Coturnix japonica: one gene and its partners. The protein of the gene in region 2 purifies or fractionates together with the protein of the main gene of each other region. This does not show direct contact. Links are inferred from orthologs where the notes say so. Each region holds a gene or a part of one and is shown on either strand. Other genes may lie near its edges. The genes, in order: CEP135, WRAP73, SSX2IP and OBI1.

Region 1 (8,037 bases), on a different chromosome or scaffold from region 2:
TGTAGAGTAAAATTATGGTACTGTCACTGAAAGGCGACTGTATTTTGTATTAGACTTACTGAAGTGAGCAAAGTTCAGCTTTAATTTGAGAAGAATCATCAGATGTCTGGATAAGTTTATTGGACTTTAATTTTAATTCATTTTCCAAAGACTTGATTCTTTCTTTCAGGATAGAGATTGTACTCTTCAGTTCACACCTTTCCAACTCAAACTGCAATTAAAAAAAAAGATGGTATTGTTGAAGAAAACTATCACAACTTGGCTTTTAAGTAAATCTAAGTTACAAAGAGCTGAAAAAAATTGCTGAAAAAAAAGAAAAAAAAAACAACTATCCAATTCTAGAATAAAAACTTGTTTATTAAAAATGAACTTACTTGTTGAATGTTATTTTCCAGTACTGAAATATCATGCTGCATCTTTGATTTTTCAAGGTTAGCCGCTTCTTGCTGAATCTGAGATAAAAGCACCGGTTTACATTGTAATAAGATGTAGATTTTCACTAAACATAACTGAATAGCTGAAAATACACCACTGCAGTTATATACACACGCACGAGATTTTGAAAACAATAAATTCAGAGTTTGTTTAATTACAATTCAAATTCATGTTTGGTTTCAATTTAATTAATATTTGCCAGTTGTTGCAGAAACATTACAGAGATACAGGGCAATAGGAAGGTCACAAGGATGTAGCACATATAGTTTTGTGACAGAAAAACCATACTCAAAGCAGCGCATACACAAAAATATTCTGTGATATCTAGACTCTACACACAAAGTAATTCCATAAGTTGCCCTCTGATGCTTCAACCCCTTTTCTCTACTGCCACTCTAGCTAGGATCTGAGTTTACTAGGACAATTCAGACAACTCATCCAGTTCTGCTAAATGAATTTGAAATCAGACAGGTTTATAAGGTATTGAAAAGTGGAACTGATTGACAGTCAGACATAAACATGGTATAATTTAAAAGCCTTTTCTCACTGTAAGCAATGCAGCTAAAATAGTCTCACCTTTAACTTTTCTCTCAGACTTTCCTTTTCTGCCATCAGTCTTCTAAAGTCTGCCAGTGCAACATCTCCATCTTCTCCCACATGACTTTGAGAAACCAAATGATGTTTTGCTTCCATTCTCAGCCTGTTTAATTCACTCTGAGACTTTAAAAAGCTTTTAGTTGTTAGTATATGTGGATTACAATTAATACAATGTATACAATGACACAAAGTTCCAATGCTGTTATCACAATAGAAGTGCTATTATATAGGACTATTTTTCCCTAGATAACTAAAACACATTTTAAATCACACAGGAGCACAACTTCTACTGCCAACATACTTGGAATCCTTCTGTCATTTCAAGTATAGACTAACTTCACTTGGTTTTCTCATAATTTAGTTACAACTTCTACCTAGCCTGTATCTCTACCCAACTTTCACATGCTTCCTTTTCATTTTTCCCTGATCCTTCTCATTTCCAAACACCAGTAGAATGTTAAAATGACTCTGAAGTTAATACATGAATGTTAGAACATGCAATTTTATTATCAAGTTTAAAAAAATAAGAATATGTAAGTATATATTTTATTATTCTTCATATTTTCTCGTAGGTCTAAACTCCTCAATTTCTATTATAATGTGGAGCTGCTTTGTTTTGAGCAAGCAACAGTAAAGTAAGTTTGAATTGGATGTTTCAATGCCAATTATGAAGACCTTCTTACCTGCTCATAAAGAATACTTAATCTGTCTTTTTCCGCAGTCAATAGCTTGACATTGGATTGAATTTCTATCATATGCTTTTCAAATCTGTCTAACATGGACTGTAGCTCATCTCTTTCTCTAGTGATCAGTCTCAGGTCTTCACTCTGCAAAGTGATTAATAAAACTGAAATTAAAACATAATAATAATAGGATACTTAAGTATTACAAGAAAGAACCCACATGATTAGGAATGTATGAAAAACACACTTAAGACATTTTAATTCCAAGAAACATGGCATTACTAGTAAAATTTAACCATGAGAACAAACTGTTAAACAGAAAAAGCAAACCAGCTAACAATACTATTTCAAACTTTGTTTCTTTAGAATCTAATTCTATTTATTTTACACAAATTGATCACTATATAAATCCATGTTACTGTAAAATGAAAACAGGGAAACAAAAAGTTATTCTCAGTTAATTTTCTAGGCTAAGAATGCAGTCTAAAAAAGTAAAAAACTTTTATTGCTACTGAAAATATATTTGATAGCTCCTTCACAGTTACTCTATAATTTTTCCAGCCTATATTGACAATAGGAATGTTACCTTCTCTGGAGTCCTACGACTTGGGCTAGGTCTTCGTTTTATCATTTTCTGAAGATAATCTAATTCTCTTTTATAATAATCTCTGTCATCTTCTAATGTTTTGACAAATGCATCTAGACGAGATGGAGATTTGTCTCCTAGAGCTATACCGTATTCTAATCTCATTCTTTCTATTTCTAGGACAAGTTCTCGTTCTGCAGAAAGAAAAATAAAAACAACTGCAAAGGAACCATAACAATTTAATCAGAGACATTTGCATTAGGAATGGACTAACATCCAGCAACTGGCTAGGCACGGGATCTGCTGAAAATGAGACAGGGGTCCTGGTTCACTATTGCCTAGACATGAATCAGTAGCGTGCTTTGGAACCAGTTGAGGCCTAGCAGTAGAGTGAACTGCATCAGTGGAGATGCAGACTGAAGGATATGATTATTTCCTTTTACTTATGGTTCATTAGGTCACATTTACAATACCGTACCCAGTTTTTACAAGAAACAAGAATGATAAACTGCTACAGAAAGGTCTTAAGAAACATTCTGAAGTCACTCACTCAGAAAGACAGAATGAAAACAGCTTGGGATAAAAGAAATTACTTTGTAAGAAATTGCCTTATTACTATTAGGATGCCCCATGGGAAAAGCTGAACTTTCAAACATGCTTTTGAGATAAAAATTTCACTTAAACAATGACTGAAGACCTACAGACTTTTTTTTTTGTTTATTTATTAGTATTTTTAGTCTCTCATAACCTAGAAGACACTCTATTTAAAAAATTTAAGGAAGATAATTTGCAGGAATCTGCATTTAACCATTTACCTTTTATTTCAAAGTTCTCTGTTTTTTCTGTCAGCCTCTGTTTCTCTTGTTCAAGCTGATTTAGCAGTAATTCAAGATTCTCTTCATCATTTTCTTTTCCAAAGAGTTCTTCACTCAATCTCTCGTTCTGTTGACGACATGAGCACAATTCCTGAAATAACAAATATTACAAAAATTTAGAAGTGCCAATAGAGACACGTGGAGAAAAATTAGTTACCTAACATTTTGTTAAGCTTCTAATATTCAACACTGCCTACTTTTAAACAACCCTGATGTTTTACGTAACATCAACTCAATCCTGCAGCTAACATGCCAAATGGCATTTAATATTTCCTATAATTTGGTGCTCTGAAAATATTTTCATGTTTTCAATTTCATTAGAAATACTTTAAAAAAAAAAAACCCCAAACCTTGCATGCAACTAGTACACAACTTCTTACACACTGAAAACAGATCTTTCAGGATGTCGTCTTTCATTTGGGCTATTAAGCTTTGTTTCTGACTAGGAAAGTAACGTGTAATTGTTCATATACTAAGAGACAGAGTAAATCCTATATTAAAACCTCTTTGGATATAATCATTAAATGTTAGTAAAAATGATCGTGTTATGGCAGTTACAACTTCCAATAGCAAAAATAATAACAAAATGCATAGTAAGGATAGTAAAGCCTGCTGCCTGCAGAGATTTCTTTCAGCTTATTTTTGCAACAACATCATGTAGCTTCTTCAGCTCTTACATGTATTACATTAGTTTGATAAAATTTGGAGATACAAGTTTAATTTTTAAATAATAAAGAAGCACTGCTGATTTTTATTAATGAAAGAGACGTGAATGACAGTATGAAAAAAATACTACAAAGAAGATTTAAACTGGAAGAACTTCACTTACTGATTTAAGCCTCGTTACGGTTTCTTCAAGATCCTGTATTTCACTGTCTTTTCTTTCAATTTCTTTCTGTCAACAAAACAAACTTTAATTTTAAAGGTCCATGTTCAAAACAATTCCTCTGTTATAAAACTTAAGGAAATAGGTTTTATTTAAGAAACAAATTATAATCAGTTCCTTGCAAACTGCAAAATTTTAGGTTCACAGATTCATTAAAGTTCCTATTAATTGAATGCACATAACACTTTAACCATAAACACTCATTTTGAACAAAACAACTAATTGAGTCACACCGTGACACCTCATAAAAAAACTATCCATACACTCCTCACTGTTGCAAACATCTATTACTTATCTATAGTTTTAGAGTAGCTCTGAATTTTGTTTCATACTGAGGTAACAGAAAGAAGGCAGACTGCCTCTTTACTGAATTAACCTCACCTAACACAGAAATAAGACAAAACTGCTGTGATTAATCTTTTAGTGAGAAATTCCATATACCACTAAATCAGAACAAAATATTTTCAGTCTTCCTTGAGGTATTCCTGTTGCAGCTAAAAAAGCCAAAATTAAGGCAAATTAGAGAAATTTCATCTAACAGCTTAGATGATCCAACTCATAAAACCCTAGTGATTACCTTTGCTTCTTCTATTTCTTTATCTGCAGTTTCAAGCACAATTTCCTTATGTCTTTCCAATTGCTGGGCCAAATGGTCTATTTCATTCAGTTCTTGACAGAGTTCCTCATTTTTATTGCTTAAGTGCACTACTTCACTAGTCACATTTTTTTTTGTGTCCATGAGGTCTTGAATGCGATTTTCAAGTTCTTTGTTTGACTGCTGAAGATATTCAACCTAAAAGATATTTTTTATTAAAACATTAATACATATTATTTAACTAGATAGTATAGTTTAGAAGATTAGGAAGAAGTATATGCTATCTCTACATCTCTATATTAAAAGTGATATCCTGTTAATAATGGCTAGACTTTCTGTTCTTAGAAAAAAATACATATCAACATGCAAAGTTTTACAACTTCACTTGTTTTACAAGTGTGCATGGTGGAAAAAATTAATTACTGCATTGCTCTTTATATGGGCTCAAAAATTCAACATTTATCCTGTAAACAAAGCAGTGAAAAGTAGATAGCTTTATAGAAACCTGCCTTGGGCATCAGTCTAGTAAACCCAATGCACTCAATGCTTCCCCAGACTTCACAAGAGCTGAAGACAGTTCCGAAGACAGTTCCTCCTATCTATCTATCTATCCAGTACATTTGCTAGGCTTGGATTCACTATTAACTCTTCCACAGAAAAGGAAGCTTTACAGATCACATCGTAATGCCAACCTTGCTTTCAACATGTCAGCATCTTAAACACCACATTCTAGAAATCCTGCATTAGAGACATTGTTTTTCCCATTATGCTACTCCGTGCAAGTTAGTTAAAAAATATATAAATTACACTACATGGGGAAATGGGAGCCTGAAATATCTCAACCTAACAGATGTTGCACTTCCTTGTCCACATAACTTTCCTCCAGAAAGAAGTTTGGTTCTAGGCATGGAAGATAGTCTGAGTCTTTTCATGGTCCTAAATGCTACTATACAGCACCAATCCATTTACTATCAGAGATTAAAAGTAGAAGATCAGCACTAAGCCTAAATAAATAGCCTTGATAGCTCAAAACCTGCTTTATGCAGTGCTGAAAATATAGCATAGGTGCCTGGGCTCACTCTGCATAATCAGTGTATCTTCAGCACAACTTACTAATTCAGGATCATTGAAAACAGCAGTACTGCTTTCAAGTCATAGCTCATACCATATTTTTGCATCACTGAACCTGAGCAAACGAGCTCTGTAGCCTGGCTCTCTCTGACCTTGTATATCACATACAAGCAGTACCCAAATGGTAAATACATGGTATAAATCCAGAGACAGACTTCATCTGTACTCCAGACTACCTTAGATTCAGAAATTTTCAATCTGAGACCAGTAACACATGTATGCTAACACACACATTAAACACAAACATCCTAACCTTATTATTTTCTTGCAAGTCTATGTTGGAAATAAAGGTGAGGACCATTAGAATTAAGAGGATTTCCCACTATCTGATGAGATTACCTGCAGACCTCTTGATAAGTACATATACAGGAGTTAGCTGCAAAGACGTAAATGGAATGTACACATATACACTGTAAATCAAAGTAATTTCAAACTCAGACAAAACAGTGTATCATTCAGAAATTTCCTGAATACCCTCAGGTTATTATACACAGAGGTGTGTACATTAAATTCTTCACAAAAAAAAAAACAGGCTTTTAAAACAAGGAATTTCTTTAGACAAGAAAGTCTACCACCTAAAAAGCGAGTCAGTTAAATTTGTTGATTTTATCTAATACTGAATTTTCTTTTTTGAAGAAGATCTAGAAGTTGTTTGTGATTGTTAGTTGCTAGTATTTTTCATTTTAACTTATCAACAGCAATTAATTCATTACCTGTGAATTTAATTGGGCAATAAGTTTCTCATTGCTTTTACTTCTTGATTCCAGAGCTATAACTTCATGAGAACGACCACCATCCAATGCTATCATTAGGCGTTCTATTTCTTTGTCTCTAAGCTCAACCTTTGAAGAAACAAAACCTTTATCATCTTCTAAAGCATTTAACAGTACCTTTGTTCTGATATGCTCCTATGTAATGCTCAGTTAGAAGAGATGTCTCTAGCAAATAAATTTTTTTATTTAGTACTCAGGTTTTTATGAATTCTGCATTTTTCTGAACAAAGTGATTTCTCTGAAATAAAACTGAACAAATAACATTCATGGGAGAAAACCAAAACCAACAAACCGGAACAAGTCCTAAAAGATTCTTTTCTTGGAGAGAAACCAAAGGATTTAATTCACCAACATGTAACTGAAAAAAAGAAATTGGGGTTGGATCCACTACTCCTTAGATACTGAAAGATAAACAAGACACAAACACCTGAGGCAATTCCCTCATTTATACATATAATATCATCTTTTTGATATAATCTAATTAAAGAGCTGTAAAATCCGCTGTCCATGAATTAACCTCTGAGAAATTAAAATGAAATATAACCAGTCCAAATAATAAAAAAATATCCTAATGTACCTGTTGATCTAATTAATTCTAACCCATGGATATTTCTACACTAAAAAAAACCCTAGATGTACAAAAAAATTGAGCTTATAATCATTAACTACAGTTTATTTAACGCAACTTTTAAGTAGAAAAATCCATAGGCAAAGGAGGTGGGGAAGCATTCCAATACTGCTGCTGCCTCCAAAGCTACAAATTCAAAACAGTGTAGAGGAAAGAAAGAATAATTGTACTTTATAACAACTACAATGGTTGCATAATAAAATTATAATCAAGGCTATTACAAACAATGAATACAAAAAAAGAAAACAAAATAGTCAAATAAATGTAAATATACCTGCTTGCTGTAATTTTTCTTTCCATTTTCTGATATCTCTAGTTTTTCCTGTAACCTTGTTACTTCTGACTGAAGTTCTTGTATTCTGAAATGTAGCAATATACTGTTTATGTAGATTCATGAATGAGCCATCCATGCACAAAAATTGAATACTGTTATTTTTTCTTTGCTCCTGAATGGAAATATTTCATCAAAAAGCAAACTGTTTTGCTGATACAAAATAATAATATAGGTGCTATTGTTTGAGATACTGTGGCAGGCCAGTCTTGCCTGGCTGTCAGACCCTCATTCATTCTCTCACTCCATCTCTACTTGAGGAAGATTAATTTGTTAGCAATTGAGTAGGATGATAAGAAACAAAGACAAACCAGGATCATCATCTACGTACCTCCATCTCCTAGGTTCAACCTCACCTACATTCCCTACTATTCTGCCTCCTGTCCTCAAGAAGTTTCCCCCCACAGCCAACTTCCCTAACTTGCGCTGGCAGGGCAGCACGGGAAGCTGATATGTCCTTGGCTCTTTGTGAGCACTACTTAGCAACAACTAAAACAATAGCATTACCAATGCTGTT
Region 2 (8,037 bases):
ACTAAGTTTGTAATATCAAAATATTTATTGGAAATTATCAAATTTAAATAATATCTATACATTATGTACATTCAGCTACAATGTTAGGAAAAAAAAAACCAAACCACTCCACAGTTGCCAGAATCTGTTGAATTACATCAAAACTGAAGGCTCCTTAAAATCCAGCCTTTGTTTTCCCACACTTGAGATGCAACATCATTCAGATTCACTCACAGCACTTTATGGACTGGAGCTGGATTGTGCTCCTTCAAATAAATAACTTACAAACTGAAACGCTTCAGGTTGGGGTTTGACCCCTTTCCTCATTCTTCCTCAGATCCGTGAGCATTTTAATGCGATCAATAGTTATTTCACTTCTTCTCTTTCTAAGTAACACACACAAAAGTTATCCTTACTCAGAAGCACCATGGAATCTCCACTAGGATGCCAGCAGAGAGAAACAATCTGGAAGTCACCTGCAGAAATAGCAAGAAGCATCTCCTTATTCCAAGCAACTTTTCCTAGGTAAGCCACATGCACTGCAAAAAATACCCCCCCACACAGCTCTAAAACAGGGATTTTACATCTACTTTAGCAGAAACAGTACAATTGAGACCATATAATCTGCAATCTTCTGAAGGATGGAAAGGCCTGTCTTTGAGAAGCTGTAAGCCACAGCTTAAACATTAACTTAATTTGGCACAAGCACTATTATAAGTGGAAATAAAAAGCTGATGATGGCTTGCAGAGGACATTGTAGAAAGCTTTACCTTCTGTTGGAACTTGTACTGTCACACATCCAGCTGGGGACCATAGGTAGACTTTGCTATTTCCTGTACATACAGCAAGTCGAGGTTGTCGTGGATCCCATTGGAAGGACTGGATGGCACACAGCTGCTCTAACACTACAGACAGTTTCAGTTTTTGAATGTCCCAGATCCACACAGCATTAGGAATGTTATCTGAAAGTAAAGAAGAAATCATTTGAATACCTGAAGGAAAAAACAGGCCTCGTGGCCTCTTTAGAAGTACTCAGTTTGTCTTCCTCCACTGTTTCTTACTGAACTATTCACAGTTGTGCTGCTGTTAATGGGCTCTACTTCTGAAGCACAACTTTTGCATCCAGACATAAACAGCCCTCAGGCCTGTCAAAGGGAAAACCTGAGTGTTAATCCCATGACCATCTGTGTTAATCAGAAGCCCCACAACAACAGGCTGTGAAGAACTCTGCCTTCCAAGAGACACATGCTGGAAGTGGAGCAGGAAGGAGCTGGGCACTTCATTTTCCAATACAGTGGCTTCAAATGTGGAGAAATTAAAGAGCAGGTTACTGTTATTAAATATAAAGCCAAACCCAGGGTAATGCACATAGAACAAAAAGGTTTCTCCTTTAACAGAAAACAGAAGGAACTTACCATTTTTGGTTGCCAGGAAACAGTTATCTGGACTGAATGCCAGCATCCCAATCCCCATTTTGGGATTAGCCCTATCAGCAACAGGTTTGATGTACTGGAAAGAGACTGGTATCTGGGAAACGTCATCTGGAATTGAGAATAGAAGGATTTTACTGAGCAAGCCTGAATGGACAAAGCATTCAATTCTAGCTGTTAAAAACAAAGAGAAGCATTTTATTCTTCTCTTTCTTTTCTTATTCTTTTATTCAACCCACTCATCTTCAACATGCCTTCAGAGCACAGACAGCATCCTCTCCAGCAGGGTCCTTACTGCCCTGGAGCTCTTCAGTTAACTCAGGAGAATTGAGCAGAGCACCCAGAGGATCCATTCCAACATCAGCATTCACATAACATTTATTTATAGAAAGACTTCAAGATGGCAAGCTCAAGTGTCTTACTTTACTAAACCTTGGCTTACATTTACTTTGTGTGCTGAAGACAGAACTAGCCAATGCTCTTGTCGGAGGGAAAGAAAATCTCTCTGTTTCAACAGATGGGGATTTCTCCACTTCTTTATACACAATCTACAAAGAAATAAGTGACAGCTCTAAGAAGGGCCTAGAAGAGTTTGAGCTTGGGCTATTAATAAATCATTCTCATCCCACTAACTCAAGTGATTTACACCATATTTTCAGGTGTATTACATCTCAGCACCCCCAAGTTATCAGTGAAGGAGAGAGGCTTCAAGCAGGCAAATACTGAATCCTGCATCCTCATTGAATTGTTTGCATATTGGAGCCACGATCAAGAAAACTCTTCCAGCAGATAAATGAACCTTGAAGTCCATGAAGAATGAGTCCAACTCATTCAATATTCCTAAAGTCTACATCTGGCAGTGCAATAAATGGAATAACGGAAACATAGAATGCCAACTGGAATTCCTGTCTGCATAGTAGAGACTAGCAGAGTTACTTCCATTTGTCTTCATTACATGTTCTAAACTTCACAGGAAAGAAAGGCCATTTCTCAATTAAGAGAAGTTCTGCTGAGGTGCAATCAATGGATCATTGATCCAAATCTGTAAGCAATCAGCACCTACAGTGAAATACACTGGCATGTATGTGAGTCTAGAAGGGGGAAAAATAGAAAAGCTTCCAGGATGAAATGGATTTATTAACATCTTTGGAAACAAACAGCCACACAAAAGTGCTGATAACGATTCATACTTACAGTCTTTGCATTAGTAACAGTTGCTGGGTGTTCAAACTCTGTGATCTTTTTCCAAGTTACATGGTTCAATATACGCACCTAATTCAAGAAGATATTGCAAGACAGAGTGGTTATGACACAATTCTGCAAATGATTTAGATAGGCTAGGTTTATTTTTCCTCTTCTCTATTTCTTACCTTTTCATCATAGCTGCCAATTGCCAAAAATTGACTGCTGGGACTCCAGGCAATGGACTTTATGCCTAATGACCATTCATAAGCCTGATACGTGGACAGCAGACTGCCATCAAGGGAGTACAGCAATAGTTTGTACTGAAACAAATTGATTAATTGCCCATAAATCCACAGCCATCAGAAAACACTTTGCACAAAAGATAACATTGACATATTCCTAACAAACATTTTAGTCACTACTTAAATTCTCATGCAATATCAAGTAACACTGAAGAAACATCTTAGAGAACAATTATTTCCTCATTTATCTGAATAGCAGCTTCCACAGTGTTTACAATTAAAACTACAAATATATTTTTATATAAGCTAGATGTTAATAAGCTTTTTTATTGTCATTAAGGGCCTACATAAGTTTGACACATACTTGTTAGGAAGCTCATTACCTACACAGGTGTAATATTCTGACACGTTTCCTTGGAGTTCAGCTGATCTTATATTTGCTTGCAAAATAACACCACATTTTATTTTAGTTATTGCTTCATACATAGCAGCTGTAAAAAGAACAATTTAAACTCTAAACTCATCTTCCTCCTCCTACCTCAAGACATGTATCCCACACTGCCAGAACGCAGCCATTGGGAGCCCACTCAATCCCAAACAGATCTTGAGTTTCAGTGTCAAAATGCTGTCCCCAGAAAGAGAAAAATGTCATTTGAAGCATTACACTAACAAATATTACATGCAGTCCTCACTTCACCCTTCCAAATGCTACCATAAACATAAGTCTTTCATAAGCCAGCATAGAAGTGTACAGTTTAAGAACTATTCCTTAGTGATAATAGCTTATATGAGGGGTTGTTGTTTTTTTTTCTTTACACATAGTATATACAGCTTCCTGAACAGAATCCCTCTGCTATGGAATGATGCTACAGGCCAGCAAAGGAGTTAGGCTAAAAAACACACTGGCAAGTCTAAAACCAGAGTAGCAAAGTGATGGTGTTTAAAGCAGTGTGCAGCTGATGCTTGTAGCCTATACAGAAGCAGAGGAAAGCAGAGACACATCTTACCCTCAGCAGCTGCCAGTTACTGCACACAAAGAGGCTGACGAAGTCTTTGCAGTCACGTCTTTCTGCTACTGCCATATAGCGGCCATCCTTGGTGAAAGCTATTCCTTCCAGAGGGACAGAAAGGTAAGTAAGAGAACAAGGCAAAACCAATAACAAGACAGATGAAACAGTTAATTTTGTGTAGCTGCACACAGCTACTGGTATCCCATCAACTCCCAAGTGTCAGCCCCCATCCTGATGATGAGTAGGCACTCTGGATTTGTGCTTCTCATCACCAACACTTCCAGCTTTACACCTTACAGGACCCATGAGAGAGGCAGCACAACGGAAAGACATGCAGAACAGGCACATAAAGTGGTGAGAGTTCAGTGCAAGGGCTGAGAACTCAGATCCTAGGACAGCACACGCAGCATGTGGCACCTAGTTACCCATCATGGTGAAACATCCCTGTGTTCAATCCCATTCCTGTGGGAAACTGGTGACACTTACCCTGCTGACAAGCTTTGGGATACTTGATGTAAGACACAGATTTGGTACATAAGGACCACACAGTTATCCGCAGCTGTTAAGAGAGAGAAAGACAAAGTATTTGCTTATTTTTGTAGATTAAAAAAAGGTTAGTACATAACCCTCCCCCAAAACCTAGCTTAATAATGCAAAGTACTATCAGTGTACGGTTTAATTAAGTTTTGCAGTTATTCTGCATAGCACAAAGCTGTAAGAAAATCTGGAAGGAATTCATATTACAGACAAGCAAAAGCAAAGCATTAAACACCATATCTGCGGTATTTCTGGAGACTTGTGTACCCCCAGAACATGAAAACTGCAAAGAAGGCAGTCAGCTGCAAAACAAGCCCCTCCACAGCTCGTCAAGGTCACAGCCTGCATTCTGGAAGCTCTGTGTTGCCATCTGCAGATTATTCAATTAAAAACAAATACTTACTCTCCCTTAGCAACGGCAGCCACACCAGACATATGTGCATTAATCAGTATGTCATGTGAACCTTTGCATTTATATCTGGAGCAAGGAATGTTTCCGGGGTATGTTTTTCATCCCATGTTTTCCTATGTTTTTATTGCACCAAGGTAAGAGATTCTAGATAAGACGCAGGTAAAACTATTGTTGCTATTAAGATCCGTGGACATAAAAACCATCTTTCCCAAGACTTCTGAATGACACAATTAGTTCTGACTCACTACATAAGTAAAACTTTAGCACCATCTACCATTCAATCACCCACCTGCATCCAATGCAGATCAATTACCAGCAGCGGTGGGTAAAAGTTTCTGCTGCTCTTTTGCTTGTGTTTGGCCTCAATTCACATTTTCCTTTCTCTGAAGCAATTGGTACAATTCAGAAGTGAGAAATGACCCCAAGGAAGCATCTTGTGTTTGTTCTGTTAACACTGGAGCCTGTGCCCTGCAGCAGAACTCAGAGACTTTTTATTGCTGACATGAATCATGCTTTCCATGTCATTAATTGACATTGTATTCCAACCAAGCTACACATTCCTAATGCTGCCTCTCTATAGCAATGTGAGGAACAGAAGCAAAAGAGCATCACTGTTCTCTTCACTAATTTTAATATATATTTAAGAAACTTATGAGACTTGAAGAGATCACACAAAACAGCTGTTTTAAAATGCAACAGGAAAGAGCAGTGACCACATCAAATCCCAGCCTTCTTATGTCCAAAGATTAAAAAAGCACAATTGGACCACTGTTTAATGCAGCCTTTATTATCTCTTCCTTTATTTAACAGCTATGAAATTACAGCTAGACATCTATAGTACCACCTTAAAGTTTAAGGGATCCCAATGGAATCTGCAAGATGAACACCATTAATCAAGTTTTATCACTGCAACTGCTCACTTCCGGACATACAAAAATACAGCATTGTTAGCCTGCTCTTCATGCAAGATTTACTTTAAAAATACCAACACAATGCCTACTCACATTCTTCTACAGCAACTGCAATAGTGATATGCTGCTTGCTCCTATTAATTGCAGTGTTAAATGTACTCGCTGCTGTTCTTCCCTTGACCAAAACAAGCAGCACACACAATGTACATTCTACAGCCACTTAATACGAGCTTAGCAGCTGCAAGCTTTGAATGCTGAGGTCTGGATTGTAATTTTTCCTGACAAAGGCATCCAAGTTCACACTTGTGTTACCACTTGGCCCCAGTCAACTCACCTGGCCTGCTGCATGTCATATACACCACCACCCCAGACCATATAGGCTGGCTCCAAGTGTCAGAGAAGGCAAAACCTTATTGCTGGGGTGCTCAGGAAGAGGGGAATCTCTCAGTGAGAAGCAGCACAGGGCACACAGGGCTCTTACTGTTACCTCTGCATTACCTGAGGCTCATCATCAACTAAGTTAAAGACCACATGGAAGTTCTGCTATAACTTTATTGCAGCCTCCTGTCCAAGTCACACAACACAACCTAAAAACTCTGGGACTGATATTAGAAACTCACAAAAGCAAATGCTCACGGCAGGCATTTCTTACTGCCCATTCTGAGGGTACTTTTTCTTCACTATAAGTTGCTAGAGAAACTGGAGTTGTCAAACCCAAATCCTAACAATAATGGTGGCTGAGAAGTTTTCAGCTGTTGTTTTGCAGTGGAAAAAAAAAACCCAAAGCAAAAGCAGCAGCATTTTTAAAATAGCCTAAAAACAGCTGAGAAAAAAAAAAAAAGCATTTAGATGGTAACGTGATAAACAGTCTCCAGTGCTGGGTTCAGGACTACGTCCAATGTTGACAGCTATAGGCAGGTGTGAGACTGGTGATTTTCAATAGATAAAAACACACTTTTAAACAACCTGGCATCTCAAATGACTGTCAACTTTTGTCCCAGACTTGACTGGGTCACAAAGCCTCCTTACATAGCAGTGTCTGTCAGCACCGGATTTCAGAAGATTATTCAGAGTGCATTCCTCGACAGAAAGCATTTTTCAACCAACGTGGCCATTTCCAGTTACTAAGGATTAGCTCCAATATACACAGAAACACACACATTTCTTTCTCCTACTATAGCTCTAAGGAAGCTTCTTAATGCTTCAGTACTAAAGTGGAACTAGAGAAAGTACAATACACAAGATCTCAAAGAATAGGTCTAAAGAGAGACACTCCAGAACTACCCTGATGATCTCCAGCCATCCATCACAAAGCTTCTAAGTCTGGAATAAGTTCCATTTGCTTTCTCTGTATCTTTTACCTGCAGCTCTTGTTTAAACTCTACATGTCTGTGATGTAAAAATGTAAAGATGTCATTAAAATTGGCCATTGAATATGTTCTCTGTTGTACTAGTAAGCATAGACTGCTAGAAATAAATTAGTATAACCATATGCTTAAGGAAGTCTCTAGTAGAAATTAAAGCAACTTGTAAGCTTACAAAGGAGCTCATATGTTAACTTGAAGAATTACAAGCACGAGTAATTAGTTGGTGCTGTATGAAAACATCAAGCTACCAAAGCCAAACTGCACCAGTTGACAGGGAACCATAAGCCCCCCAGGCAATCCCTGAAGTTCATAACACACCAATATTAAGTATCTTGAGTTTCTGTCCCAAGCACTGCTAACGCCTGTCTCACCAGACTATGGATTTAGCACGCTATAGAGCAAACACAACTCAGACACCGGCATAACCCAGGCAGCTGTCTGACAAAGCTAATTTAGCAACCTGTTTACAGCTGGAAAGAAAACTTATCCCAACACAGATGCCAACTTGGCAAAGGCTTAATGAAATCCTCTAAGGTCAAACCGAGTTCTGTTGGGAGGTAATAAATACTTGCTAGTCCACCCCCACATGAATGTGCCATAAGAAACTCATTTGTAGCACATAGCACCAGCCTTCAGTTTGGGTTACGGGGACAACAACACTCCTGCCTGTCTGCCAGGCATGTCTTCACTGACTTAGAGTTGTAGCTCTGGACTCACATTTACTTTAATCACTATCAAGGTGATCGTTCCTGGAGAAACTCGGGTTTAATTTAATCACTCACAAAATCCACAGTCTAAGAAGTTGAAGGGAAGTGGAAGGAGGTCACTTGGCAGGCAGAAAATCTCTACCCTTGAGAGCATTAGTACTTACACTAACACCAATATGCACGCACAGATGATAAACCTGTATCCCATTGAATGATACTTGGATGGAAAAAGGGAAATCTTGCAGTGTAATATCCAA
Region 3 (6,748 bases), on a different chromosome or scaffold from region 2:
TAATCTCTATACAACGTACCGATTCTTCGGTCACTTTATTTCTGTTCCCACGATACCCACAGGACTTACCACAAGAGCATTTTGTGGCACACAGTGTTTTAATGACCACAATGCAGAACATTTTCCATTTCAGTAGTTGCTAACAACTGCTCTTTCTGGATTGTCAGTGCCACATGTGTTGACTTTTTCAACTGGATTTCATCTGGGCTTCAAAATCCACTTGGAGTTCTACCTCTGCTTTGGGAACTGCTACAGAATTCACATCAGAAGATTGCATTGTTGTTGCAGGGATTTGCAATCAATTAATGCTCAAGCAGACAAGTGTAATCAGTGCATCAGTTGGTAAACTGTTCACAACAGCGCATGGTCAGCCCTTCCCAATGGTTGTAACTAATTTTATTTTTTATAGTTGACCCTTTCTTTATAACAAAATTACATGTTACACATTTTATTAAGTTGTAAGCCTTGCACAAATAAAGGAAATCTAAAGTTACTAACAAAAACTTGAATATTGGAATATGAGTACAGTGCCAATGTGAAAAGTAAAATAGCGTACACCATGGACTGATGCTTTAACTAAACTGCAGCTCTGATAGGAACAGTGAACACAAGAGATGTGACATATTGCAACAGGTAATAAATGCTTCTTTCAAGGATCAGTTTTTGTACTCACTTTTAGATTTTTGGATTGGTGGGAGCGATGGTACAGAAGCAAGCATCTCTCCACCCATAAAAGCTTCATGGCAACTCCAAATTAAGAAAAAAAAATAAAGAAATAAAAAAATAACACACAAGTAAGTAGAATTCAACACACACAGCATTCTCCTTGTCCTGGAAATATTTATTTTCCATTCAAAAATAACCCGTTTAAAGTGGTATTATTTGGAGATTTCAGTTAGTTTCCTTGGCCCATTTGAATTACATACACAAGAACTTCTGAGAAGAGCAAGAATATGGTCTGAGTTCTTTCCACACATGTAGGAATGTATTTGTCCTGCTGCATCTGTGCAGAGGAAACCTGCAGCAGCTACTGGAAGCAGCGCTACAAATGTGGAAGAGGGCTGTTTTGTAGGGAACAAATTCCTAAGTAAAGCTTTCGATTATTGATTTTTTTGTTACGCAGTCTGTAAAAGCTATTTTGTACCATTCTCAAAGACAGAAAATAAATGAAAAGCTTAACAAAGGTAAAGTAAACCTGGAAAATAATTTCTCCTACCCAATTAAACTTGAATTTATGATAGAAACACATTCCCATAATGTAGACTGAAAAAGAAGCCCAGATAACAGCACACAAAGCACGTTATATTTAAAGACAGAGGGTGTAAAAGAACCATGCATCTTTTCAGTATCACACACAGGTGTACTGTGTATGTCATTTTCACTAGCACTCCCTCTTAAGTATGCCACTTGCCCTTTTATCTCAGATAGACATCTCTGTGCAGTAACACACCTGCATGGCATTCATGAGGAGCAGAGGAGGAGACTGCTCCCAACAGTCTCTGATTAAGTAAGCTCCAGAAGTTCTAATTCTTCACCATGGTGGAAACAACATCACCATACTACCAACCACGCCACCTGCAATGTTCACACCATCATTAGCAGCAGCTGCACATTTAGAAGCTTTCTCATCAATCACTGCACAGAGTAACCCAGAAACTCCAGGCAGTGCTCTCCTTCTTTACAGAGAGGGAACTGACCCTGTACCCAGGCCCATGAGCCTTGCTCAGGACTCAACTGCATACATATTTTTAGCACAGTTGATTCTTCCATATAAACATTCAATTAAATTTCTGCTTCTATGATATGGGTCACAGAGTTTAAACTAAAGCGCATACAACATAATTAGGTTCCTAATCATTCAATAGGTACAACAAATTAAATAATACATTATTTTGCTCTTCAAAGTCATCATTATTCTAAAAGTGTTCATGAAAAATTGCTTAATAAAATAGTCCAATTAAGGTATCCAACAAGAACATGTTTAAGTGCCCTCAGAAAACATCAGAGAACAATCTCTTCAGAACAGCAGCAGCCCCTAGTGGCATCCTGATCAACTACGGATTTACAGATCTTGAGTAAATTAGTTTCAAGATAAGAACCTTGCATGTAAATTACTGTTCTCCCACTTCAAATCACAGAAAATCCTGAGTTGGAAAAGATCCACAGGGATTGAGCCCATCTCCTGGCTCCTCACAGGACTACCAAGACGCAAATGTTGCCTGAGAATGTTGTCCAAATACTACTTGAACTCCAGCAGTTGATATTATGACCAGTGCCTTGGGGAGCCCATTCCAGTACCCAACTCCCTTTCTGGTGTGGGACCTTCTCCTAATACTCAGCCTGTGCCTGTCCTTACACAACTTCATGCTGTTGTCAACATGTATATTAAATTCTTCAGCTTATGTCTTTGAGCATAATTTTAGATATAGGTTTTTACTCTTTCATAACTAATATTTATGCAAGTTCTTTACAGTATCATGGGGACGGCATAAGCTCAGCAGAACTTATTTATTGAGAGGGAACTGGAGAAATACATTTTAATATAGCCTTTTTAGAAAGAAATATAATATGATTATACTTGTATTGTTTTCCCTGTCTGGTTACTCATGCAGAAAAAGTACATGAATTGACTCAGGTGAAGGAGACTTTGAAACTTCTCATCCATACATGGGTATTTTTAGAAAGTTATGAACAAAGATTTCCCTAAGGCTACACCAAGAATTCTGGAGCCCACTAAGATGAAAACAAAACTAGCATCAGACAATGAACCCTGGCCCTACAACCACAATAATTAAAAAACTAGCAGTCACAAATCACAGAATCAGTTTCTTAAAACAGACTTACACATTTATTTTTTTACATTTGAAATAATTTTATTCCTGGCTGAACCACTGAAAGTCCTAATGCATCTGTAAACAGAGTATCACTATAAAACAATTTCAAATACCATGTAAAATAATATTATGGATGTATGCATTTCATTTCATGATTTCTCAACATAATCATTTTGTCTATTTACAAATATATAAAGATTTCGTGCTTTAGCTCATCTGAAATATCAAAGAGGTATTTTCAAATCACACAAATTAATAAATATAGAACTTGTTTCATTAAAAATCTACAGTATACTGTACATTCAAGTTGAGGCAAAAGAAGTTTTAATGCCAGTTACACTTGAGATGTTTCTCAAGATGAGTGTTTCTAATAATTAAACCATTCCCAAAAGTGCTATCTGTCTGTGATGAAAAGAAACATTAGGATCCAATATTTCATTACAGCCAAAGTTTCAGACCATAGCTTCATTCACAGAACCGCAGCTTCCATTACTAGAAAAATATCAAAGCTTTAATATACTTTTAAATAAGCATCTTTCAAGAGTTGCAAGAAAAAGAGGCAAGAAATGGCCTAAAAAAAATTAAAAGCCATGTGCACACACATACACATCACAGCTCAGCTTACCACATAACCCTTCAGAAGAATATTCAAACTCACAGCATCCTGTTACACTTTAGAAGTTTATGAATAACTCTAACAAAACAGCAGGAAACCCTAGGAAGTCTAAGGCAGTTGATCTATGTGCAAGTTTCTACATAGCAGAGTACCATCTTCAGAGTCTTCCTGTGACTGCATTACTCAATTTCTTCCTTGTCACTTTCCTCCCACTGATTTGGCTTACTGTCTCCAGCAGGTTTTTTTAATGCAGCATTGAAACTGGTAAAAAGATAAAGTAACAGCGTAAGTAACTGCACATTCAGTTACTAATTACGCTTCAAGAGAGAACAACAATACTGTTGTGATGTTTTATTCTTCTACATATCAATCATAAGACCTAGATTAGATCTTTTGGTACATTATCACAATTTCATCACTGCTCTAAATAGAGTTCAGCACTATGAAAAACAAACAAATAAACCACAAGAAACATCTACAACATCATTTGAGATACCTGTTATGTGAAATATACTGAGAAGTCTGGCAGGATTCAGCTGAAACAGGACCACTCAGCATACAGTGAGGTTTTCTTTGCTGAGACATTGAGCTCAGACGATTGTCTTGGTCAGGAGCTGGAAGGCATACATATAATCAGTTAGCTCACTTTACAATTGAAAACATTTGAAGGCTTAAATTTTAAGTCTTCTATCAAAAACAATGGACAAAAAAAAACCAAACAAACACCCAAGCACAGCAAGCACCTTCCTCCCACCCTACTGCATGACTGTAATAATAAATACAGCCAGAAACACCAGAAGATGAAAAAAGATAATTATAACTTCAAAAGCTTTAGTATACAGTCTTAAATAAGTTGCTCACAGATCATTAGAATCAAGTCATTCTTCAAGGTAACAAGGCAAATGATCTGTTCCTAAAAAGACAATTTTTTCCCCACTATGGAAATGAATTATATCTTAATCTTATAGGTAAAAGGTGGAAAAAGCAAATTACAGTAATATAATTTGAATACTTGCTTTCTATTAAGGCACTTGGAGTTGTCACATTTTCAGAGTGCTTGTAATCAGTACACATACTTAAGAACTGTTGCTTCAACCACGCTCCTCTATCTTCTTCAAATGCTTTTCTCTAGGAAAATAAATGACTATTTACAGTTACGACCACAGAAACAAGCTTAGTCTACGTTAAATTGATGCTATTCCATACTATAAAAGACTTCAAAAGTTACAGAATACCCATGCAACTAAGGCAATTCAGAAGTTTAACAAAGAGTTACAGTCATGTAAGCAAGCTTTTCATTCCAACAAGGATTAGCTGAGGAGGTATTTATTTACAAGCCAAACCCCAAGGTTTTTTGGAGAGGTCTGAATAATCCTTTCACTTTACTGTTCTCCACTACAGTGACACAATCTCCTACCACTGTCTCTTGTGCTCCCCCTGTCCCCACAGTGCGGCACTACCTTGTGGAGATGCTTCTATTTTCTGGGCAGTTGCTCATAAGGATTCCTGCTTCCGTCTTAGTCCTCAGCTTTCTCATAAACAAATACAAGCAACATTGAAAATAGCACTGATCACTTCCTTCCACTAAAAAAGACTGAGCAGAAGAAAGGTGGTGTTTCCTTTTCCAATCACTCTATGCGCGCAAAAGTAGAAAATTCTGGCTAAAAAAAAAACCTTCAAAAAGATGCATGGGATGTAGAATCAAGAGACAAGCTATCCTAACTCCAAAAAACATCAGTGAAACAGAGTGCTCCCATCACATAAAATAAGAAGGCTTGCAGTATTGCTTCTACTTTTTCATTTCTCCTTTCAAATTTCAGTATTCTAACATTCAGAAGCACAGGTAACTACGTTTATGTTGTAAAATGGTCTAAAATATTTCAGGACAAAACTTCAAGATTACATATTAAATCTAAGAATTCACTAAAATGCAAGGAAAATAGAATGAAAAAGATTGAAGAATGCATGATCATATATATAGTGGCCTGAATCAGTATTTGTCAGTGTTCTGAACTACTGTTGTACCAATGTCTCAAGTAAAACTCAAAATATTCTATGATCTTGACCTTTCATGTTCCTCCCTGCTAAATTTGTAGTTGTCTTCATGTTTTGATCCTAACTGCTGGCCAGACAAAAAGATGTGCTAGAGCAGCACGCTTAGAGAAATACCCACCCCAATTCCCTCCCAGTATAAGTCTGTTTACTGGCCAGCTCAACTACAAGAACATGAAATGGCCCTACTGAAGCAAAGATATATTTTGGCTTTCTGCAAAACTGGTTTCCACGAAAATTTAGAAATCAAGAATCTTTGAGAATTCAATACTGCAGCCAAATCTGACAGTGATTTGCATAAGCCCGGCTGTCTTAGGGAGCTACACTGAAACAGCCTCTAATCAAGATTTAATGAATAAGCAGACAGATCTTTCAGAAGTACCTAGATATTTCCAAAGCTGCAAGAAAAATAATTCATCCCAGTTGCAGCAAACCCATTCCAATATACACGAGAAATTAGGTGTCTGTTGTTTTGTTTGTTTTAAGTGCCAGCTGAATGATCTGCTGCATTGACCAAAGCTATGTTTTACAAAGTGCAAGAACAAGCTCTCTGAATAGAGGTATAAGCAAACAGACAATGTATACTAGGAAGTTTTTAGTGTGTATTAAGAGTTATTCTTGTACTCTCTTCCATAGCAGTTCCTTTTCTAATACCTTTCCACTTTTCTAGTACCTCTAGTCCTAATCTAATAGCAGCTTCTGTAAAACTTCTTCGTTCCTTCTCAAAGTTCTTTTTTTGCTCTTGAAATAGCCTCCATTCTTCCTGAAGACGCTCTCTATCTTCCAGCAAATAGCAGTCCTGTAGTAACAGAGTGGTGTCATCATCACATGGAGACATAAGCTGTTGCTGTAGATATAAATACAGAAATAATAATTTTGGAATGACTGTTCAGTTGTTTAGACTTTCCACAGATTCAATTTCATCAAAAAAACAGTTGAAGTTTAATAAGCAAAAAACACAGGTGGTAGGGGCAGAGTTTCAAGCAGCCAGCAAATCACCTCTGTTCATGCAGCTGGCCTTATCAACCGTCCTCATGTCAATTAACCCCCAGAAATTTTCCTACCAGGATTACAAACTCATTACATTACTAATCAACTGAACAGATCACTTAAACCAACCACAGAGATATCCTATTTAAAAAGCACTGTCAAAAAAAAAAAAAAAAAAAGAAAAAAAAAAGGAGAAAAACTCAGAAGTGAGTGATAAGTGACATTAAAAAAAAATAATAATTCACAGATTTGGTCT
Region 4 (8,037 bases), on a different chromosome or scaffold from region 2:
TCCAGAGAGCTCTTCTCTGGCATTACTTAGATCCCTCTAGCCCCCTTTCCCAAAAGCACTATAGAAACCCTTGACTAATGCTGCTCTTAGCTTTCAAAAAATATGATTGCTTTGCATCAAAAAGTACTTTCAAGGAGATGGACTTCAGCACACAGTTGTAATTGGTATGAAACAGTTTCTGCTGTTTGAGGTCATCACTGATGTTTAACTGCTCAGGAATATCAAGCAGACATCAGCTGTGGGAATGACGCTCTTATGCTGCAGAAGCCTGATTCTATGCATCTTGCTCAGATGAAGGCTGTCAGGAACATTCCTTGAATGACCAGCCTAAGTTCATACAACACATTTTGAAGGCAACAAAAAGAAGAAAAAAACCCTCAAACCAACCAAATACAAACAAGCAGAATCTTGGCTCACAGGAGCAAATCTACTTTAAAAAAAAAAGATGGAAGATTTAAATGAGATTTCTTAGTAACAAAAAATAAGTTAACTGTAGGATTAAAGTAATAGCTCCAGTTCTCCAGTACGAGACAGATAAAACAGAACAACACCATTTGTGGTCAGCACATATTCCTTTACAGCAGACTTGCTGTTATTCTGTAAGTTGCATTTGTCACCCAAGTCTATGAGGATGAAAACTCTAAAGTCTGCCTTGTGACACATATGTAATGCTATGTACACCATCAGAGTTTTAGGTTCAAGTCGTACAACAGTTAAAGAGTCTATAAATAAAATATAGCAGCTTTTAAAATATTCACATACTTTTGGGGTGATCTACTATCAACTTCAGCTTTTAGTCGCAAATTCTCTCTTAAAAGGCTATTGTTCTCCATGCTCAGTTTCTTATTTGCCTAAGGAAAAGAAAAGGAAAACAATAAGTATACAATAAAACAGAAATGACTTCTAATATTTATAGGACAAGCTGTTTCTGCTTTTTTTTAAAGAGACAGAACTAGAAATGTGAAAGCAGGAAACAGCCTTTAGACAGGGACACCACTTAAAAATCATCATGGGAAATGGCTTGCAAAACTGAATAGCGAACAGACATTTTTAATTTATATTCCCAAAATACACTGCAAGTGTCCTATCTAGGGAAATAAACACAGCTATGTTAGTTAGTACAGAAAGTCATTAAGGAGATGTACTAATGGCAATTCCATGTTTTTTTTCCACATGACTAAATACGTTAAGTACATTAACATTACAATGTGCAGGTATCAGCAAAACTAATGTTGAACAGCTTCCTCCATCCCAAATTAGATTAAGATTACTTTGTTTTTTTTTTTTGTTTTTTTGTTTTGGCTTTTTGTTTTTCAAGTAGTTATCCTGTGGATGTAAATCCATTATGACAAGCTATTTGCAGTTTTTCTTTACTTTCTTCCAAGACCTTATGATTAAGACTCTTGATTCACAACTCTTCTGCTCCTCGAATTGAGGTCAAATCCTTCTTCTCAGTTCAGACAACGCTCTTGTTAACAAGGTACTTCATAGAAAGAACTTTCCTGCTGCTGTGTTTCAGAACAATGATTGCCGCCATACTAACAAGTAGAAAGAACTCTTTGAACTTAATAGCCTACTCAATCTCTGTATGTAGAGAACTGCACCAATCCAGGACTTGTAACTCATGGCCTCACTCAGAGAATGCTTTCCACTGAATACTTGAAGTACAATCTCAAGTTAGACCTGAAGAAGGGGCTAAGAAAACAGGTTCATGAATGAAGTATCCTTTGTTGGAAGCATCAAACAGCACAAGAGAGACAAAAAGCTCTAAACGCTCATACAAATATTCCCAGAAACCTTCTCAGGTAAGACTAAGGTAGTGTGGGATGTTGGGGAAGGAATGAAGGGGAATTAACTAAACAAAACTCAAAAAAAAATCCTACAATATTCAGAGAGGAAAAAACAAAAAACCCCACAGATTTATTGTATAGAAGGAAGGGTGAGCCCAAAGCTTTGGTATTAGTACGTCAATCCCTTTACTGCACATTAAAAAAACTAAGAAAACAAAAAGCTATCCAGAAGGTAATGAATAAGAGCATCAAACCATTTTATATCAAGGCCAAGACCTTTCTCTCTTTGCAGGGACACAGTTCTCCCAACCACAAAGTCAAATAGGAGGTGAACAACTTGCATGAAGTTGCTACATAGGGATCTGCTGACACATGGCAGAACTGAACCTCCCCAGTCTCCTTCTTCTAGAGGCTGCTCTAACCTCCAAGCCTGTAATCTGCAAGGCATATCTACATGCAGTAGCATCTAAATTTATGAATTCACATAACCTCGTCATTAGTGCATGTGCTTCATCTAGTATTTCTACCACAGTGCTGGTGTCAGTACTTTCAGATTTGCTATGACTCTTTTCAAAGTTAGTGCGTACTCCGGGAGCCTCTGTCCTAGGACACTGAAGGATAATGGTGACTCATTTCCACCCTCAGTCTGGTTTAGAGAATGACAGCAGCAGTATGTTTTGAGGGACCCTGTCTCACTTGAGAAGAGATGCACGTTTGAAGCTCCTGTGTCAGGTATTTTAGGGAATAAGGAAGGTTCTGGCTCCAGACTGATTTTATGTGGGAAAGAGGTCTCTGCTGTTCAGACTGGGCTTGGTCAGTGCACTCTTATTTCACAGGTCAAATGTGGTCTAAAAAGAGCCAAGTGATTTTATATATTTCCAGAACTGAGCAGCTGCTCTACATGAAACAGACTGAAAGAAAGTGACTGCATTGGAGGTTTGGACTTGGTCCCTAAAACCCATCTAAGCCACTATTTGTATCTAATCCTTAACCAAAATCAGAAACTCCATAAAAATCTTTCATTGCTAAGGCTGAAGTTATATTGCAGGAAAAAAACAAATCAAAACAAACCACCTTTCCTTCCCCAGTCTCTGCTACATTCTAATTTTATCTCATCTGTGAAAAGGAGTTATAAACCTCTGTCACCACAGAAAAGAGACATTACATTTTAATGCTAAGGAAGAAAAACAGAGAACTCTTTGCAGGCAATACCCTTTAGCAAGTTAGAAATTACTCTCAAGCTTCTGAAGTATCCCCTCTCAGAAGGCCAGCTGTGTCTCTGCCTTGTAAAGCTGAAGTCCAAACCTAGCTAAACTATTCAAAAAGCTCATCTTGGAAACTCAAGTTTACTTTTTGGTCACATTTAAGTGTTTCAAAAATTTTATCTGTTTTAGTCAGGACTAGAATTTCCTTTAGATTATGAAGATACACATCTAGGAGTGTTCCATTAACACTGACAACTAACATAACAATGACAGAATGGCATAATGCGCACCTCTGAGTTTGAAGCTACTAATTCTTAGAAAAGAAAAAAACAGTTCTTGAATTTATTTATTTATTTTTGCAAGAAAAAGCTGCAGGCTTCCAGTGAAGGATGCTCTGGTTATAAAATGCTGAAGCTTGTCTATTTTTGGTCAACAGGTCAAGTTACTCTGTCTCAGCAAATTGCACCAAAAATATTGGCTCGCTAGGAGGGCAATAGTGCAAAATCCGCCTCAGCCAACTGTACTGTGTTTTGGCCACTGAATGTTGTAAAATAGATATATTATATAGATTATTGCAAGCCTGAAAAATCTGGCCATCAATACTGGTGACAAGCACTGCTATAATCCAATTATCCAGTCACAGAGTGACAGAAGAGCTTAGGAAGAGCCACATGTAAGGCTCACTAAAACAAGCAATAGTATCTGACACTTGCAAATGCTGTATGGAAATACTATGATGCATCAACAGCCACTGGAATCCAATTTTTTCCCTGTTTTTTCCTGGATCTATGAAGCACCCAGAGGTCATGCCAGCTCTCACCCCTTCAACTAACATGAAAACTGTACTTCAAGATGGATGAAGAAATGTATTTTTTACCTCCTTTAACTTTTCTACGTTATCTATCACTTTTTCACATATATCATTGGCAGCTTTCAGCTTTTTGCTCCATTCTTCTGGGGTTTCTGGGCCACTGGTACTTGCTTCATCTGCTGATTGGCTAGTTTCTTCATTTTGGCAACACAAAGCTGGTACTGTAGGATCCAGAAGAGATTTCAGTTGTGTCTGTAAATTGAGATTTCTGTCTCTCAGTTCCTCCACTTCTTTTTGCAGGGATTCTATTTCATCCTAAAGGTGTCAGAAATTCACAGGAGAGATTAATTAAATAATGATGGCAAGTTTCCACAGCACTAATGAACCATTGGTTCTTCAGCAAGCCCAGATGCATGCCTTCACTCATGAAACTAAGTACGCTTATGTGTGGTGCTCCAGGCAGGATTTTAATCAATTTGCACACTCAGGCATAGGGAAGGTTTCAGCAAAGGGAATCCCTTGACTATATAAAGGACCCTGAATGAACCGATGGTCAGTCCAAAAGCTTCGAAGCATTCAGCAACATTAATCTATTATTAGGGCGCTCTGTGGGAGGATTTCCTGTACAAAGAGAGTTCTTAAGGTCATCCTCTGCTGACTCATTTGCTGTTATTTGAGAACAAGATGAGAGAGCCACTCTGAAACATTACATGTTCAGATGCTGAAAGTCTTGAGATTTAAAATGGACAGAACACTGCCTGGAAGAGGCTGCTCCAGCTGCACAGGAGTAGAAATATTTAAGGAAAGACTGCAAAACAAAGAACAAAGCTATTAGCTGTAACAATCTGAAGCCACAGAGAAGCAAAAGCCTACTGTTAAAGGGATAAAAAGTATGTAATTTATCCTGAAAATGTCTTCTTTACTCTTTTCCAACTTAATACTTGCATTGCTCACGTTAAGATTACTAAAAGAGGTCATATTATAGCATTTATGTAGATTCAGGATATATCTGCACAAATAATCAACCTCTACCATCCTCTTCCACACCTCTTCCCCCCCCCCCCCAAAAAAAAAACCCCACAAAACCAAACCCACCCAATAAACAAATCTCAAACAATAAAAAACCTCACAACCATTTAAAAATAGATTCTATTTTTTTTGAAAGAGGTTTATGTTATTTTATGTCCATTTGTGTGATTCTGGAGTTGACTTAAAAGAAACAAAGGAAACTCCTTTTTTGTGACTCCTCTATGAAAGAAGCTGAGTTCCAGGCCAACTTGTCATAAAGACTTCCCCCACATTAAGGATACACATGGTGTCCATTTCCTTTCTCTCATCCTCCTTGCTATGAGAAAGGTTTCCTTGAAAAATGTGCTAAGTCTTCACACTGCTGCTAGTAAGGAAACAATAACTGAGAAGATAAACTAAGCATATTCCTTATATATATTATATATATATATATATTCCTTATATGCCTCTTAACCTTGTTCTTATTTTTCCAGTCAGAGAGTAGAAAAACTTCCGAGCATTCATCCACTCTCACAAAACACAATAAAGCAACAATAATGAAGTTCACCTACACCAGAATACTCCAGGAGCGTTTATTCTTTAAAAAGAAATTCAGATTCCATAAGCAACAGGGAATCATTCAGAAAATGTTAGTACCCAACATCCAATACGCATAAAAGAAATGCATACTACCATGGGATTGAATTTCCACAGCCTCTGCCTGTAGTTGGCTACCTCTTGCTTAGACAGAATATCACTGTAACACTGCAGGATCTACCCAGCTGCCAACAAACACTCTCCCCTAGCCTAAGCTAGAAAGTGTTGCTTTAATGCATCTGAGTTTCATGTAGATACAGCACTGCTCAAATTAAAAACACCAGGACTCAATGCAGGAGAACCAGTTGCATACAGTAATTTAACAGTCGCAGTTCATCTGGGAAGTCACAATGCTCCTGTGTGCTTACCTCATATTCTTTGTGGAGCAATTCAAGCCTTGTTTTACGTAGGTGCTTTCTAACTGCTGGACTAAATGTAGGATCACTTTCACTCGTTCCTCCTAAAGCAACACAGAAGAAAAAAACCCACCATTATTATTACTAGCAATCCACCTTGCAATGCATTTCATATTGTCAGCTACAAATAAAGCTAATATTGGATCAATCTACTAGCATGGGAAACTACAACCTTACATTTTTAAAACAGCTTAGACAGAATCTATTAGTGATGTTTAGAAGACAAAATCCTGTCTCACAGCAGGAAGACAACATTTGAATTTTTTCAACTTTGAATTACCCTTGACAGATTCATGCCTTATTTAAGACCACACTGTTAAAACAAATATAAGGGAGGGCATTGTGGTTTAACCAGAAAGCATCTTAAACACCACACACTGGTGCTTGTTTACTTCTCCCACTGGGTCAGAGAACCCAAAAAAAAAAGGTAAGACTCATGGTTTGAGACAAAGAGTTTAACATGACAGAAAAAGAAGGGATAATAACAGTGATAAAAGAACAAAGAAAGCAAATGATGCACAATGCACTTGTTCTCCACTTCCTGACTGATGCTCAGACACACCCTAAATAGAGTTCCCCCTGTTCCAGAGCAGCCTGGATCAGCCTGTGACAAACGGTAGGGCTGCATTTCCATCCCATTGACAGTAGATTGCAGGTGTACTGGGTGCTCCTCCAAGAAAAAGCAAACTGGGGCCTGCACTCTACTGCCAAAGGGACTGAGAAAAACACACTGGCAATATCAGTTGTGGCATACCACTTGGCTGCATTTGACTCCAGTTCATATAGTAGTTCTAACATGTATGGTACACCAGCACTCAGCAGTGGCATGACTTCACTCAGGCCACGATAATCCAGTCAGCCCCCACACTCCACTGGACTTCTGCAATGCCCATATGGGACTACTGACGGGGGAGCAAGTCTGGCTTGCGACTGCTTGGCTCTCCTGCTGATGAATCAGCTGATGAATGGGAATCTTGGAGTAATCTTTCTTAAAGTGCTGAGTCACTTCCAGAGTATTAGGGTCTGTTCCCCTTTTCCAATTGTTTTGTCAATGTTCCCTTCCCTAGAGAAGCATTCCAGATGCCTGGCTTCGTAGCCCACTAAATCTAGACTCCTGGCCCAATTATCCCAGCCTCAAAGCAGACAGGTGACAATGTGCTCACCTTGATGACAGCTGAAATCTTTTCACATAACTCACATAGGGATAGGCATTGGGTGGTTCTTGTCTCATTTATAACCTCTGCCTCTTCCTCCTCCTGTTCTTATGATGGATCTGCTTCACAGTAGTCTGTCTTATCCACTTCCTCCTCTTTCCTCTTCTTGGTAGGAAGTTATTTCCTTGCTAAATGAGCTGACTTTATCATCCATTGTTTTGCCTTGTCTACAGGCATAACTGATATTTATATGGGTTGGTTATCCAGTTCAGCTATATGACCTGCTGCAGGGGTTAGAGAGGGTGAAGGAACAGAGGAAAGTGTCCCTCTTACCTCCACTATAGATTGGCTCACTGAGGGGTAAAGAGTGTTAACTGTTAACAGTTTCTGAAAGATGGCTCCCAAAATACAGAAATGACAGCAATGCTGACTACAAAACCCAGATTAGTCTCACCACAGGTAATTTTATCAGAGTACAGGCCAGTATTATACAGTACAGCAAAATGATAACTTTAATATACAGCAAGTAAGGTGAACTTGAAGATCAGGAAAATAAATATTGTGACAAATATGTGTTTACATGCTCCAGTCAGATCTATTGATATCTCAACCCTCTGAGCCCCATGCTGGCCACCAAAGGGACTGTTGTAGCTTAACCCATCAGGCAGCTCAGCACCATGCAGCTGTTCACCCACTCTTCAACTCTCAGTGGAATGGGAGAGAGAATGAGGAAAAAAAAAATAAAACCTGCAGATTGAAGTAAAGATTGTTATACAGGACAGAAAAGGAAGAGAAAATACTGGTAACATCAGTAATAAATATATAATAAGAATATATATTAAAAAAAAATATGGACAACACGACTGCTCGCCATCCACTGACTGAAGTCCAGCCAGTTCTGAGGCAAACCCTGCCTGGGGCAACCCTAGTTTTATCATTCAGTATAATGTCACACGGTATGGGATATCCCTTTAGCCAGTTTAGGTCAGCTGTCCTGGCTCTTTTCTCTCTCAGATCTCTGTGCACTCCCAGATTCTCACAGTTGAGGCAGCACAA

What was found.
Region 1: the proteins of WRAP73 (region 2) and CEP135 purify together in Homo sapiens (co-immunoprecipitation; 6 studies listed by BioGRID and IntAct, counting the BioPlex papers as one, with this or other methods). This does not show direct contact. The link is inferred for Coturnix japonica from reciprocal best matches to the Homo sapiens genes WRAP73 and CEP135.
Region 3: the proteins of WRAP73 (region 2) and SSX2IP purify together in Homo sapiens (co-immunoprecipitation; 4 studies listed by BioGRID and IntAct, counting the BioPlex papers as one, with this or other methods). This does not show direct contact. The link is inferred for Coturnix japonica from reciprocal best matches to the Homo sapiens genes WRAP73 and SSX2IP.
Region 4: the proteins of WRAP73 (region 2) and OBI1 purify together in Homo sapiens (affinity purification with mass spectrometry; 3 studies listed by BioGRID and IntAct, counting the BioPlex papers as one, with this or other methods). This does not show direct contact. The link is inferred for Coturnix japonica from reciprocal best matches to the Homo sapiens genes WRAP73 and OBI1.

What each region holds. Positions count from the first base shown.
Region 1 is NC_029519.1:58,569,845-58,577,881, forward strand, and holds part of CEP135 (centrosomal protein of 135 kDa), read right to left. Parts: intron 7,549-8,037; coding exon 7,464-7,548; intron 6,631-7,463; coding exon 6,502-6,630; intron 4,856-6,501; coding exon 4,640-4,855; intron 4,072-4,639; coding exon 4,006-4,071; intron 3,268-4,005; coding exon 3,117-3,267; intron 2,496-3,116; coding exon 2,302-2,495; intron 1,860-2,301; coding exon 1,716-1,859; intron 1,156-1,715; coding exon 1,012-1,155; intron 453-1,011; coding exon 375-452; intron 212-374; coding exon 60-211; intron 1-59. UniProt on the Homo sapiens protein: Centrosomal microtubule-binding protein involved in centriole biogenesis. Acts as a scaffolding protein during early centriole biogenesis.
Region 2 is NC_029536.1:819,721-827,757, reverse strand, and holds part of WRAP73 (WD repeat-containing protein WRAP73), read right to left. Parts: intron 4,406-8,037; coding exon 4,333-4,405; intron 3,948-4,332; coding exon 3,844-3,947; intron 3,462-3,843; coding exon 3,375-3,461; intron 2,915-3,374; coding exon 2,780-2,914; intron 2,682-2,779; coding exon 2,604-2,681; intron 1,958-2,603; coding exon 1,852-1,957; intron 1,521-1,851; coding exon 1,395-1,520; intron 942-1,394; coding exon 750-941; intron 456-749; coding exon 346-455; 3' UTR 1-345.
Region 3 is NC_029523.1:14,423,289-14,430,036, reverse strand, and holds the end of SSX2IP (afadin- and alpha-actinin-binding protein), read right to left. Parts: intron 6,350-6,748; coding exon 6,176-6,349; coding exon of another isoform or gene 6,157-6,175; intron 4,579-6,156; coding exon 4,467-4,578; intron 4,065-4,466; coding exon 3,947-4,064; intron 3,712-3,946; coding exon 3,630-3,711; 3' UTR 2,822-3,629; downstream 1-2,821. UniProt on the Homo sapiens protein: Belongs to an adhesion system, which plays a role in the organization of homotypic, interneuronal and heterotypic cell-cell adherens junctions (AJs).
Region 4 is NC_029516.1:137,633,756-137,641,792, reverse strand, and holds part of OBI1 (ORC ubiquitin ligase 1), read right to left. Parts: intron 5,872-8,037; coding exon 5,780-5,871; intron 4,122-5,779; coding exon 3,873-4,121; intron 852-3,872; coding exon 763-851; intron 1-762. UniProt on the Homo sapiens protein: E3 ubiquitin ligase essential for DNA replication origin activation during S phase.